Linked DNA regions of Arabidopsis thaliana. The protein of the gene in region 2 interacts with the protein of the main gene of each other region in a pairwise test. Each region holds a gene or a part of one and is shown on either strand. Other genes may lie near its edges.

Region 1 (6,806 bases), on a different chromosome or scaffold from region 2:
ATGCATTTCTCTTTTCCAAGGAACCAATGATCATTTTTATGTTGTTTTTTTTGCTTTGACAGAGTGATGCTATGAACAAATCCCTACAGTTAGCCTCACGTGAGCAGAAAAAGGCTGACGAAAGCGTCTTGAGACTTGTAGAAGAACATCAGGTATATTCCTTCATAGCACACTACTTAAACTGACCAACTTTACCTACCTGTTTTGTGTCTGAGTTTGAAACTCTCTCTTTGCCAGAGGCAAAAAGAAGATGCTTTGAACAAGATCCTTCTGCTTGAGAAGCAGCTAGACACCAAACAGACACTGGAAATGGAGATTCAAGAGCTAAAAGGCAAATTACAAGTGATGAAGCATCTGGGGGATGATGATGATGAGGCGGTCCAGACGAAAATGAAAGAGATGAATGATGAGCTGGATGACAAGAAAGCTGAGTTAGAAGATCTAGAAAGTATGAACTCAGTCCTGATGACAAAAGAACGCCAAAGCAATGATGAGATACAAGCAGCGCGGCAAAAAATGATTGCGGTACAGATTTCTAATGCTTTAGTGTTCTTGGGTACTGATAGAGTTGCATTTTTGCCATTATCTAGTATTTTAGAATACTCAAAAGATTGCTCTTTGATCCAGGGTTTGACAGGATTGTTGGGTGCCGAGAGCGATATCGGAGTAAAAAGGATGGGAGAACTTGATGAGAAACCTTTCCTGGATGTTTGCAAGCTGAGATATTCTGCAAATGAAGCTAGGGTTGAAGCTGCCACCCTTTGCTCTACATGGAAGGAGAACCTTAAGAATCCATCATGGCAACCATTCAAGCGTGAAGGAACCGGGGACGGAGCAGAGGTAGGTTCATTCCTTTTACAAGTCTTTTATATGACTTTGAAAAGTATCTGGTCTTTCTCCCTCTCTGGGCCACTGTTTTAGTTAAATATGGAGTAACCTGTGATTTCTGTGAACGTTGATACTTGTATACATATGTTGGTACAACTGTTTTTGTTTTTGTGAGTTAGCGGTAATGGTGTTAGATGTTAATGGTTACAGGAAGTGGTAGACGAGGATGATGAGCAGCTGAAGAAGCTTAAAAGAGAGTGGGGAAAAGAGGTGCATAACGCAGTAAAAGCAGCTCTTGTGGAGATGAATGAGTATAATGCAAGTGGTCGGTACCCGACTTCAGAACTGTGGAACTTCAAAGAAGGAAGAAAAGCCACTCTCAAGGAAGTGATTACGTTCATTTCAACCGACATAAAAAATCTGAAACGCAAAAGAACCTGAAGGTATGCTAAATCTTCTTCAGTTGACACAGGTCTCCTTATATAGCTTATATAGTAATGTGCTGGTCCAAAACTACGTACACTACATAATCCGAGAAACGTGTAAAAGGTTTAGGGTAGAAACTCGTCAAGAAAATACTGCAGAGGCATGATCTCTTTTGTTGACTTCAGTTAAAGAACTTGTCAATTATGATCTGGTCTGGCTTTGGTCTTGCGCCATTTTGATTTGAACTGAAGAATCCAATGGTCTTCTACTTTTGGTTGCAGGATTGGAGAAGCAGGAAGAAGAAGAAGAATATTAAATGGTTAAGCTTTTTGTCTAATAAAATTATTAGGATGCTCGTATGCTCTCTATGGAGACTAATTTCTTAAACCTTTTGATTTGAAAGAATTCGAATCTGTAATTATTGTAATCTTGGTTTATGCTTTTTGTTTTAAGTTCTTGTTAAAAGCCACCTAAAATGATGATCAAACAAGTTTGTGTTAAGATTATTTTGGCATGTAACATAGTCAATAATCTTTTTATTAAGGTTTCTTCTTGGCTTATTTTGGACGAGTTAGGCAGTATCTTAATAGTAGTAACAAAGCTTTAGTTTTTGTAGTTCATAAGTCAAAAGCTTTGAACAAAACAGTGTTATCTTCTATACCAGACACAAAAACTGTGTTGTTTATATAGTTAAATCATCCTGAAGCAATGTGACTAAATTTTTTGTAACCAAGCTATATTTGCATTGCTATGGTCTTGTTTTGTGACCAACAGACTTGGATGCAAAGTAGGTATAACTTGCTAAATGTCTGATTTTGGAAATAACTTATGAAGAGAAAATCTTCATTTGGTAAGAGTTGTTTTCTCAATGTAACAGTTTACTCATCATTTTCAAACTCCAACTCTCACAGAACACAATCAAGTTACAAAGTGCAGATGCTTATGGTTGGGAAGCTTTACCTAACAATGGTACAAGGCGGTTTTGTCAGGAACATAGATTCGTTCTTGGAGTTGGTACAAGAACTTCTAAAAGACAAAGATGAGGTATAATAAGGACAAGTTGACGAATAAAAAAATAAATATTATAACGTAGAGAATCTTTCAACCCCAAAAAAACAAACCAGAAAGAATCAAATCCTAAATCCGAAAAACAAAAGAAAGCATTATGCATAGCATTACGATACAAAAAACCGACAAATCTAAGTAACTAGTAGCTCTAGTTCTTCGAAGCATCAACGAAGTAAGACGTAAGGTCAGTCAAACGCACACTCTTATCCAACATAGCCTCAAGCTCTTTAGCTTGCATCAACTGAAACTTCTCTTCAACAATCTTCTTAGTCTCAAGAGTAAACGAACTCCATTTCTGCCTCACATAATACTCATCAATACCCGAACCAGCAATCATCCTAGCAAGAGACGACTTCTCAAACCAATCATCTCCATTAGTTGAAGAAACACCAACAAACGCCAAGTCTTGCTTTACAGAATCAAGCTTCTCCTTCGTCTTACTCGCACTCTTTTTCGACACACCGTTGGACTTAGCATTAGAATCAAGAGCTATTCCTTTAGGTCCCCAAATAAACTTTGACAATTCAAAAGCTTTCTTATCATGAGCTTTCACAAACCTAGGTTCGTCCTTTCCTTCTTTAGCACGGTACTTCTTCCTTAAACTCCTAACCTTATCCGAGAATTGACTCTTACTAACCTCAAAGCTGATAGATTTCTTCTGGAACTCGTAAAACGCATTAGTATCTGCGGAAGGAGACTTCCCTGTATCAGCATGATAATCTATCATTCCTTGTAACATAGAGATTTCGTCATCGTCACTCCATAGTCTTTGAAAAAGTGCTGGCTTCTTTACACTCTCTTCATCTTTCTTGACTCGTTTCGTTGAAGTCGTCGCAGCTTCACTCGCTGCCCTCTTTGCTCCAGATTTCACCGCCGGTAAAGCTAAAGTAGCAGTCGACGACGACGGATCATCTTTCTTCTTTGAAGCGATTGTTTTACCGGATCCAGATTTCGGAGGATCCGTCGATTCAGAATCCGAATCTGTTTCACTCTCCGAACCAGAATCGGAATCAGCAGCGGCGGAGACGGCGGTGGATTTAGAAGGAGCAGCGGCGGAGACGGAGGTGGATTTAGCTGGAGTAGCGGCGGAGACGGCGGTGGATTTAGCAGGAGCAGCGGCGGTTGTGGCGGGAAGGGATTTGATTGGTTCGTCTTCTTCAGATGAAGAGGAATCATCTTCGGAAGTCTCGACGTCATCTTCGTCGCTTGAAGGTGCCGTTGGTGGATCGAGTTTCTTCGTCATCGGAAGTTTCAAAAGAGCAAATCGGAATTTTCGAGAGAAAGAGAAGATGAGAAGCTTCTTAGGGTTTGTGAGGAAGATGAGAAGCTTCTTAGGGTTTGTGACGAAACGATGATAAGTGAAAAGGAATATTTATAATCAATTTCGATATTCTCAAACAATAATTGCGAAATTTGCTTTCCTTATTCAAATCGTTTCATATTTCCAATGTAGCAGTTCCCGTTAAAATTCCATTGTTCTATGAGTTAAACAATTAATATTGTCATTAAATTAAGATTCTAAATCTCAAAGAATATTATTTGTTAAGTTTTATAATCTTATTATATAAAAATTTTTGATTTGTCTAATGTTAGAAATTGTAATGAAAGAGTAATTTAGGTTTAGGTCATGACATTAATGACTAATCATAATAAGTACAATTTCACATTTTTGCTTATTATATACAAATCTTTGATTTGCCTAATGTTCCCATGGATCTCATTCTCATACAAATCATAATAAGATCTCATTCTCATGGATCTCATTCTCATTAACAAATATTTGGTGAAGGAGTTTAATATTATGTATAATTAAAGCCCACTAAAAACTAATATAGAAATTGTAATGAAAGAATAATTTAGGTTTAGATCATGACATTAATGACAAATCATAATAAGTATAATTTCACATTTTTGCTTCACATATTTTCGCACTGTAATGATTTTTTTGCTTTCATTTCATTTTTCTGTTAATTGTATATATACAGAAATATCTATATACAGAAATATATTCATTTCTTACTGCCAATGTTTATAAAATCATCCCAAAAAATACAGGAATATGAGTTTCTTTTTAATGAATTGGCACCAATAATATAATACATCAAATCCCAAGTTTTCGTCTGTTACTTAAATGATGATAATGTAGACATTTTTACATTGGAACTCAAAATTCATGATCTCTTGTCCGCCAACACTCTCATGATGATAATGTAGACATTTCTACGTTGGAACTCAAAATTCATGATCTCTCGTCTGCTACACTCTCATATTGATATCACCATTTTTCAATTCGGTAAAACGAATCTAATTTCTCTAAAAATAAAAGAAATTATGACAGTGTAATAAAAAGTTTTTTTGTTTTTTTGTCAAGAGATTTTTTATAAAAGCGTATAGTTAACAATGATCTTATTTAGTTTGTTAAAAATTTAATTATTTTTTTCAAAAAATTGCTACTTTTGCAACAAAAAAAAACCATAATTAATCATTCACAATTCCACCGAAACATAGTTTTATTCAAACATATATACGTCGTATGTATTTACATTTGCATGATCCAAAATTTACTTCCTCCAATAAAATTTTGCACTTTAAATAGAAAGTCTCTATACACATCCGTATAGAAACGGGATCACAAAATAGTTTTTAAGGATATAGTTACCCGTTCGACATTAAGAACAAAATAGAATAAACATAACAATAACGTACCATAATGATGACAAGAGCTCAAGCAATTACACACATGAAAATTCGTATATGATCCAACCTTACTTGCAATAAGTCAATGCCAAGTTATAACAAGAATAAGATATTCACTTCTTGGTGTTGTTGATAGACTCCACCTTGCCGTCATTACCTCCAAGCAAAAGATATTTATCCTTGCGAGTAAGTTCGGTGCATTCGAAGCCCAAAACCGCGCCGATAACTTTCTGGACGTAATTAGCCACCTCTATAGGAGTCTTGCCACCACCGTTGACAGTCATTTCTTCAGGCAAACGATCCAAGAAAGTGGCTTCATAGCTTGGTCTTGGGTTCATGAAGAAGAAGTAAGGGTCCCAAAACTTCACACCCCTAACTGTGGTCCCGTTGAACATTCCTTGTTTACAGTTCATCGCTACTGGCACAATCCGGTCGCTTAGCTCTGCGAATAGAGCGCTAAATCTCAGTAGATACTCTTCTCTACACGTCGTGCCTTCCGGACATATCACCAAGTCGCCTGTTATACACCAAAAACATATCATTAGCTCAACAACTCCATTGATTTTTAATTTCTCAACTAAAGATTAATGTGAATGTAAGTCAATATTCAAAAGAAGTAAACAATATTATTTTATGTTCATTTATATAAATTTGGTTAGAAGATGCGTTAATTAGGTACCAAAGTAAACATCAAAGACCATACCAAAGTAATATTTACTATATTGAGATTTGCATGGGCTACTATATATGTATTCATCGAAAAATAAAAAGAAAGAAATAGAAACTCCTATTGAACCCCCTGGACAGTGAAACTTGTTATAGGTATGCTCTAGTAATATATGATGAGAAGATGTGTAAAGTACCTTTCTCGAGAAGTTTTCTCATGTTGGCAGCATCGGTGGCACGGTCACGGGTGAGGGCAACAGCAGGAATAGGAGAAAGCATAAGGGAGAGACGAGAGACACTGTAAGTGACGCAACAGATCTTACGTCCAAGAGCAATAGCAACGATGATGGGATCAAGCGCGGTACGGTGGTTAAGGACATAGAGGTTGCCAAGAGTTCCAGGGGAAGGAGGTGGAGGACGATGACCACGAATGGTTAAGTGGATCCCGAGCATCTCGTAAGTGTAACGGACAAATCTTTCAGGTAAAGGGAGGTTGAAGTAGACGCGAATGATGGAGAGGATGAAACCAAAAGGAAGCCATAGGTATGTGATAATGGCGTTTAACGGAGTTGGACGTTGCGCTAAACGCCCATCATGGAAGACTATGCGGTTCTTTAAGCGTTCTTTTGGAATCGTTGTGGCTGACTTGGTCGCATGAACCATGTAACCTTTCTGTTATAATACCAAAAACGTTATTCATTTCAAACTTATAACTAAAAGTACTAGGAAAATGTAACATATCTCTAAATTGTGTAATCAAGATTCAAAAAACTAAGCATTAAACAACAGAAGATTGTTTATGATATTTCAAGTATGTGTTCATTAAATGGACAGCCCAAAATGTTGGTGGAACTAGTAAGGTGGTTGGGGATAGAAAAATAATCCAGAGGGTCACGTGAAGTGATTGGTTGGATACATTTATGAACCTTACTAATTGCTTCCAAATCAAAAATTTCATTATTTTTATAAGATTCACGCGTAGACATAATGACACTAAACCAGTCAACAAGTTAAATTAGATTATCTAGCTTAATCAACAAGCAAATCAAACGTTTGCTTAGATTCTCAAGTTACCTCCAAAACACATCTTACACTAAACCAATCAACACTCAATAATTCAA
Region 2 (6,976 bases):
AGATGCATCGCTGATCTAATCCTCGAACCAACGATAAACCGGAATCGCTGAAAGAAGACTCACCTGAAATTACAGCGAAGTAGTGAAGAAGATTGAATATGAGTATTGAGTAGCTCCGAGTTCTTCCACACCCACTCCAATGGCGGTTCCTACGGTTATTCACCAGAAGGAAGAACAGAGGAAGAGACGAAGAGCGCGAGAGAAAGAAGGTGCTGAGAATTTCTTTTTATTTGGATTTTTCGTCCTATTTATGCAATTTCATAAAATGTTTATATTTACATTTGTTGCCACTAATCGTTGAGCGTTTTCGTTTGTTTGTTAGTAAAATCTGTTACTTTTTAACTGCTTTATTACTAGAGAATATTTGTTGACGAATTCAAACCATATGAAATTGCATAAATAAACAAATATATATACAACTACACGAATTCTTCACTTTTACTGATACGTTAATAAGAGAGACAATGCAACAAATTAAGTGTAAAATTAGTTGAAAAATGTCAAGGAAAAACAAAACTCTAAGAAAATCATGGATGGAGAGTCCCTTCGAACTCAAAACGTCCATCGGTGAAACTTATATACACAAAAACGAGACAAAAAGAGTAACAAAATATGTAAATTTGTAGTTCACAAAGTTGAGGGAACAACGGTTATATGCCTCAACGGATGCGACACATTAGTCCCACCGGCGTGAACGATGAACTCAGCCGGCGAGAAAGACGTTCCATGGCAGACGCAGATTATACTGATCTCTGATTTTGAGTAACGGTATAGAAAACCATTTACGGTTTTGCCCTCGGGACCGTTACCGGTGCTAGTCACGCAAGGCATCTGAGCAAACGGAAGCAAACTGCCGTTACCGTTACTGTTGGTATGCGGTTTTGGCGGCTTCCCACTCTCTTTGGTTACAGAAGAGTTGGACCATTCTTGGGTCTCCGCGTCTTTTGAACCGTCTGTGTTATGCACGGTTTGCTCTGTACCGGTCAGAATGTTGTTAACCGGAGATCTAACCTGTTTGGTTTGGCCAGATTGTGCCCCAATGTCGCCACTTCCACCTGAACATTAACCATAATTCAAAATCATCTACATGCAAATAGCATAATTTTCGTGATTCTTTAACAGAATCAACACATCGAATTATATACTAAAAAAAAACTATATACATATACCAACCAATTTTAGTTTATTTTTAAAAGAAGGTTGTTATATACCTTCTTGGCGAGAAGAGCTGCTAGGATCGGATACGGAGGAGGAGGTGCAAATGGGTGACCCAATCGTAACGTCTTTACTGCTTTCCTTGAGTCGACCCGACCCGTAACCGTTACACATGTTGATAGAGCTCAAATCCATATCATCGCCGTTACTAACTCCGTTATATTCTGTTCTGATCCTCTTGCACTCTCCTTCTTCTCCGCTTCTCTGCTGCTGCTTCGCCTCCCGCTTCTTCCGTGTTTCCTTTATCCTCGTCACATTCGTCGTTCTGCCGTCAAGATTAACGCCGTTATCCTTCTCGAATCCGACGGCGTTAGATTGTCCAAATGTTTTAGATTTCTCCGTTTTCTTGAAAGGACCTCCCAGGGAAAGACATAGCTCGAGCTCGAGCTCGACCTCCACATTCTCATCTTCTACAAACTTTTCTGCCATTGATAAAGATTCAACAAACATATAATGTCAAAAAGATGGTCTCTTGTCTTCCGCAAAATTTTCCTCTTGAAGGGTTTTGAAGCTTCGCCAACTTTGTTGTATGAGAAAGGAATATTATAAGGGGCGGAGATAATTAAAAAGAGAATGGTAAAGGCTTCGGAACATGACACATGTCCGATAAGGATAGTGGACATGGGCGGTTTCAAAATTCACTAAGAGAAAGGTTAAGAAACTTTATTAGCGCTACAATTTCGGATTATCGATAAACGCTTTCCATTTATTTTGTTGGTTTCTATTTCCATTGGTTGTAAAAATCAAGTAAAATTTTGACGAAAAGTACCGAGACGCCACGTGTAACACGTGCATGGAAACAGTTAACACGTGTACACTGAGATCCTGCTGGCTTTGACGAGGACACGTTGGGTGTTTTGAATTCTTGTGTTCGTATCTGACTCCGCGAATCTCGAGCATAAACACGACCCCGGGATTGACATGTGGCGACCATCTTCGAGAGACAGTGCAATAGGTTAGACAGTCCAGGTCAGCAAATGACGCCGTAACGGTTATTCTCATCTGATGTGTGTCGACGTGGTTCATGTTTGGCTGGCTTCATGGGCACGTGCTAGATGACAAATGGCTGTAAAGAATTATGTTGAGTAGATAGATGACTCGTGTCTTTATTCGAATAGTGGAATAGCTTGTTGAAGTTGCTTTATTATAGCTTGGCTATCACAAGTTCCAGCCTTACTCTTGCATGAATTGCACCTGGAAAGTGGAAAGAGGATTGAGACTATTTGAATTGTTGACAAGAAAAACAAAGGAAGATTCTGCGAATACACTGTGGAATATAGCAAATGTTCTTTTCTCGTTGTGATTTTTTCGGTTGATTAAATGTTTAACAAAATGTAAAGCAAAGATTCTAGAAAAAGAAAACCATTCTTGACTTTGCTATTTCTTTGACAAAAATGTGACGATATTCTTATGAACTTTTCATCATATTTTATCATCATAATTTCAAGCCTTACGGTTATCACATGATCCATATTCATGTCAATGTCATGCTTATCCCCGAATATTACATACTACTGGGTTTATGTACATAAGATCCGGTTCACGTTAATGGGCTGATGCTTTTTAGATAAGGCCCAACTAAAGCTGTTTCTTTTGTTAGCCGTGGAAACAAACTGCCCGTTTTGATTTGATCGCCGTAAGGCCCGTAACATTGACAGTGGAGAGGCTGAAAACATGATGGGTATAATAGTCATTTACTTGAGAAGCCTTTATATTTTTCATTGTACGGTTTAACCACAACATATCTAAACCGGTTTCCAAACACATTCTATTACTATGTAACCCCAAATTTGATCTCCGACTTCAAAATCGGAGAAATTTCACGGCATGGCTACAGCCGTTGGAAGCGGGAGCGATGTAGAGGTTGGATTTGCGAAGCTCCAAGGTGAGGATTTCGAGTACTATATGCAGTCTTACTCCATTATTCTCGGCCGGAATTCTAAGAAATCGACCGTCGACGTCGACCTCTCATCTCTCGGCGGTGGGATGAACATTTCTCGCAACCACGCTCGGATCTTCTATGACTTCACTAGACGACGCTTCTCTCTCGAGGTACTTGGCAAAAATGGCTGCTTCGTTGAAGGTGTCCTCCATCTCCCTGGGAACCCCAACGTCAAGCTCGATTCACAGGACCTTTTGCAGATTGGTGACAAGGAGTTCTACTTCCTGCTTCCGGTTTGGAGTATCCTAGGCGGTCCATTGGGACCCAGGCACCACGTCTTAGGGAAGGCTACTGTTGTTCCGTACCATAATTATCATTCGGGTCCAGGTTCCGGGTCGGGTAAGAATGGCGTCCGGAGTAGAGAGTTGTATGAGTACGATGATGAAGACGACGATGAAGAGGAGGATATCAGAGGCAGTGGAAAGAAAACATGGAGAGATGGACATGAAGGAGTATATGCCTCTGGAGGTAAAACCAAATTGCTCATGATAGCTTAACTTCATTGTGTCACTAAATAGATTTCAGGCTTGTTCTAGACTTTGAGTATAAGTTTTACTGTGGTGGTTGATGATTGAACCTTGTTAGACTTAGATTGAATGATAGTGACACCACGACATTGTATCTGCTTCATTTGTGCAGAGAAGAAGAGAGAGGGAAGATCAAAGGCAGATCGTGAAGCTGATGATCAACAATTTTTGCAGCTAATGCATGGTAGTGGTTGGTCTGTGACAGATATTAAAGGAGTATGGAAACGTATGGCATCACAGTCGAGTAAGAAGATACCTATCACAAGAAGACTGGGCTATCCCTGAAGCAAAAGGTAAACCATGGTACGGTTTGCTGATGCTGCTGAGAAAATACCCGGAGCATTTCGTCATCAACACGAGATCAAAGGGAAGAGTTACCCTTGAATTCGTTTCCCTCGTTACCCTACTCTCATAATCATCGAGATGATTGTTAGTGCAGGAGCAGGATGATTGGTAGTATATCTTTTATGTTTCCACGTAATGAGTGTATAAGTGGGTGTTAGGTGTTTTGACCTTGGTGACTCGTCGGATTAAGTTTTTCTCGCTTTTCTTTGTTACGTTGTATATGTAGAATGACAATGACATTGATGAGTAAAACACTCTCGGATTTAACCTTTTCTCTCTCTTCAAGAAATCGCATAAGCTATTTTCAGCCATATACATACTATAGCCTATATGGCTATTCAACATTAATACACTCTCGGGTAAATTTAACCTTTTAGTTGTTTTCTTATGGCGAAAGCGGATTTGGTTTGCATATTATTTAGTTGAAAAGAAAAATCAAACGAGAAAATATATCACAACCCAAAAGTATACTATACAAAATTCAGATAAAGTTGTCTCAAAAGTACTATGCATAGTACAGATAAAGTTGTCGGAAGGAAATATTAGTATGATTTTCCCCGTCTCATTACTGTACATCACTTAGTCAACGCATACACTGTTAAAAGTCAACACATACAATCATTCAAAAACGTTTGGAGTTTAACACATAACACATCACAAGAGTGATCATCACAAATTAGAAGTTTATTTTACAAACTTGAGCCTATTAAGTTTTTACTTTTTGGCCTAATGAAAATTGAAACCACTTTATTCAAACCCAAAAATCAACTTTCTTCTCTTGTTTTATCGGTGGTCAAGATCTAGGCTGTTCGCAATAACATTTATTATTTTTTTTTCCAATAATTTCGTCTTTAGTACCAACTTTCGTTTTATATATTGCTGCCGTACAACTTGCACTTGCTTACATGTTTATTTGTCTACAAATTATTACTTAAAAGTTAAAACAATATACAGAGAAATCTCCCTAAGTTATTGAGTGATAGTTTTAAGTTTTTTTTGTGAGATAAATTAATTACTATTTAGTATTTTACGTAGGTTTTGGTAAGATTCTTCGATTTTTTTTTTACTTACAAAAACAATAGAAAAAGACTGATGCATGACAAAATTCTTAGAAAAAAAAACTGATGCATATGATAACGTGAGTGAAGTTGGTGCTTAGAGTTGCTAATATTAATATATATATATATATATATATATATATATATATTGAGTGAAGTTTTTTTTTTTTTTTTTTCAATCATTGAGTGAAGTTTTTTTCTTCTTTTCTTTTCTTTTTTAATCTTCTGCTGCAGTCACAAACTCACAGTGATTGTAAAGCTGAAGTTTGTTTCCAGGCTCATTAGTCATTACCCTTGCTACAAAATTAGATTAGCATCAAAATTAATTAGTAAGTATTTAACCTAGGTTTTGATAAGATTCTTGTATTTGGTTTTCTTATCACCTCGAAATTTCCAATTTTGTTTGATTAAAAAGGATATAAGAAACAATAGGAAAACGTGCTTGTGGCATGCAACGTTGTTTTTTTTTTAGATACAGATACAAGGCTATTTTCTAAATTCAAAATCTTAATCCGACCAAATTTAAATCTATAAAAGTGATTGGTTACAGACACTATTTTACTTTTTTGTCTTTTTCAAGAAGTTATTTGGATTTTCAAAATTACAGCATTAATTAAAATAGTAAACATATGTTAAAAGCCTAGGCGGATAAGTGAAAATATGATTTAAAACATTTCTAATGCATATTTTATTTTATTTTAAAGGAGATTTTAAAATATAGAGAATAATTCAATGTGCCTTTATTTTATTTTAGAGAAAATTCTATTTTAGATATATATAATGGACTAAAATTTTTTATATAAAAAAAAATTTCTTAAATAAAAAATAATATAAAAATGAACATTGGAGATGGTCCGTAAAAAAAATGGAATATTGGAGATGATCTTGTTTAAATACTAATTACGGAACTACCTACTTTAGAGATATCTATGTGTTAATAATTGTGGTATGTGCTAATGATATGGCTATGTCATCCTCTTATGTTATATTGCAAGTTGTTTCAAAACGAAAAGTATTTGAAAATGGTCGATTATTATACGTATATACGAGTAAAAACATATTTCAGTCCGAACTAATATAATTATACTCTCTAACTACTTTCTTTTTTTGGTGAAGTACTCTCTAACTACCTTACGACAACAATTATTACCTGAACATTGAACAATGAATTTATTACGAAATACAACATGATCTACAAGATATATCGTGAAACACATTTAAATAGTCCTTATTTGGCGTTAAAAATTGTGTTCATGGTAAGTTTAATTAGCGTATAAATATGTACGATAGATATAGTTTGGGTTGAAATCGTATATTTTCCCCTTTTCTCCGTTATATGATTAAAAAAAAAACAATTTGAGGCATAGAATAAGCCCATTTAACTCCTACTAGCCTCACTCACTTCCCCAAATTTCTTAATCACCACTGGATACTATGGGCTATCTAATTTATTTTAAAATAATAAATAATAACTACTTAATTTTTTATAACATTTTTGGGGGCAACAACTTAATTTTTAATGGACCTTATAATTAATGGAAAACTGAAATAATTAAAATAATTATTACTAGATGACTAACTTTTTTATACAAATTACCAAAAGTGAATATGGAAGATTTTTTTGTTTTTTTGTTTTTTTTTGCAACATACCCTCAATAGTTTAAAACTATGCACTTTTATTTTTTACATTTAATGTTATTTCTAATGATACTGTATTACATTTTAAAAAAAAAATTTATTTTAAATATAGCACATTATTTTAACATATTCATTATGCACTTTAGTTATGATTTTGTCACATATTTTTGTTATCTATCTAATTAGCTCAATAATTAATTACTCTTATATTTGCTTAGGATGTAAAATGGAAACTTATCATAAAATAACAT

The links. The genes of interacting proteins can lie anywhere in the genome.
Region 1: the proteins of AT3G07260 (region 2) and AT4G00390 interact in a two-hybrid assay, tested with the Arabidopsis thaliana proteins (one large-scale study listed by BioGRID).

Annotation. Positions count from the first base shown.
Region 1 is NC_003075.7:169,180-175,985, forward strand, and holds AT4G00390 (DNA-binding storekeeper protein-related transcriptional regulator), read right to left. Parts: upstream 3,667-6,806; 5' UTR 3,566-3,666; coding exon 2,471-3,565; 3' UTR 2,308-2,470; downstream 1-2,307. Other genes in the region: FDM2 (XH/XS domain-containing protein), read left to right, coding at 63-152, 238-525, 628-840, 1,039-1,269; GPAT8 (glycerol-3-phosphate acyltransferase 8), read right to left, coding at 5,133-5,536, 5,883-6,357.
Region 2 is NC_003074.8:2,306,662-2,313,637, forward strand, and holds AT3G07260 (SMAD/FHA domain-containing protein), read left to right. Parts: upstream 1-2,947; 5' UTR 2,948-3,042; coding exon 3,043-3,625; intron 3,626-3,796; coding exon 3,797-3,969; 3' UTR 3,970-4,322; downstream 4,323-6,976. Other genes in the region: AT3G07255 (nuclear transport factor 2/RNA recognition motif protein), read right to left, coding at 628-1,055, 1,212-1,665. UniProt on the Arabidopsis thaliana protein: May play a role in the control of plant organ development. Does not show transactivation activity in yeast.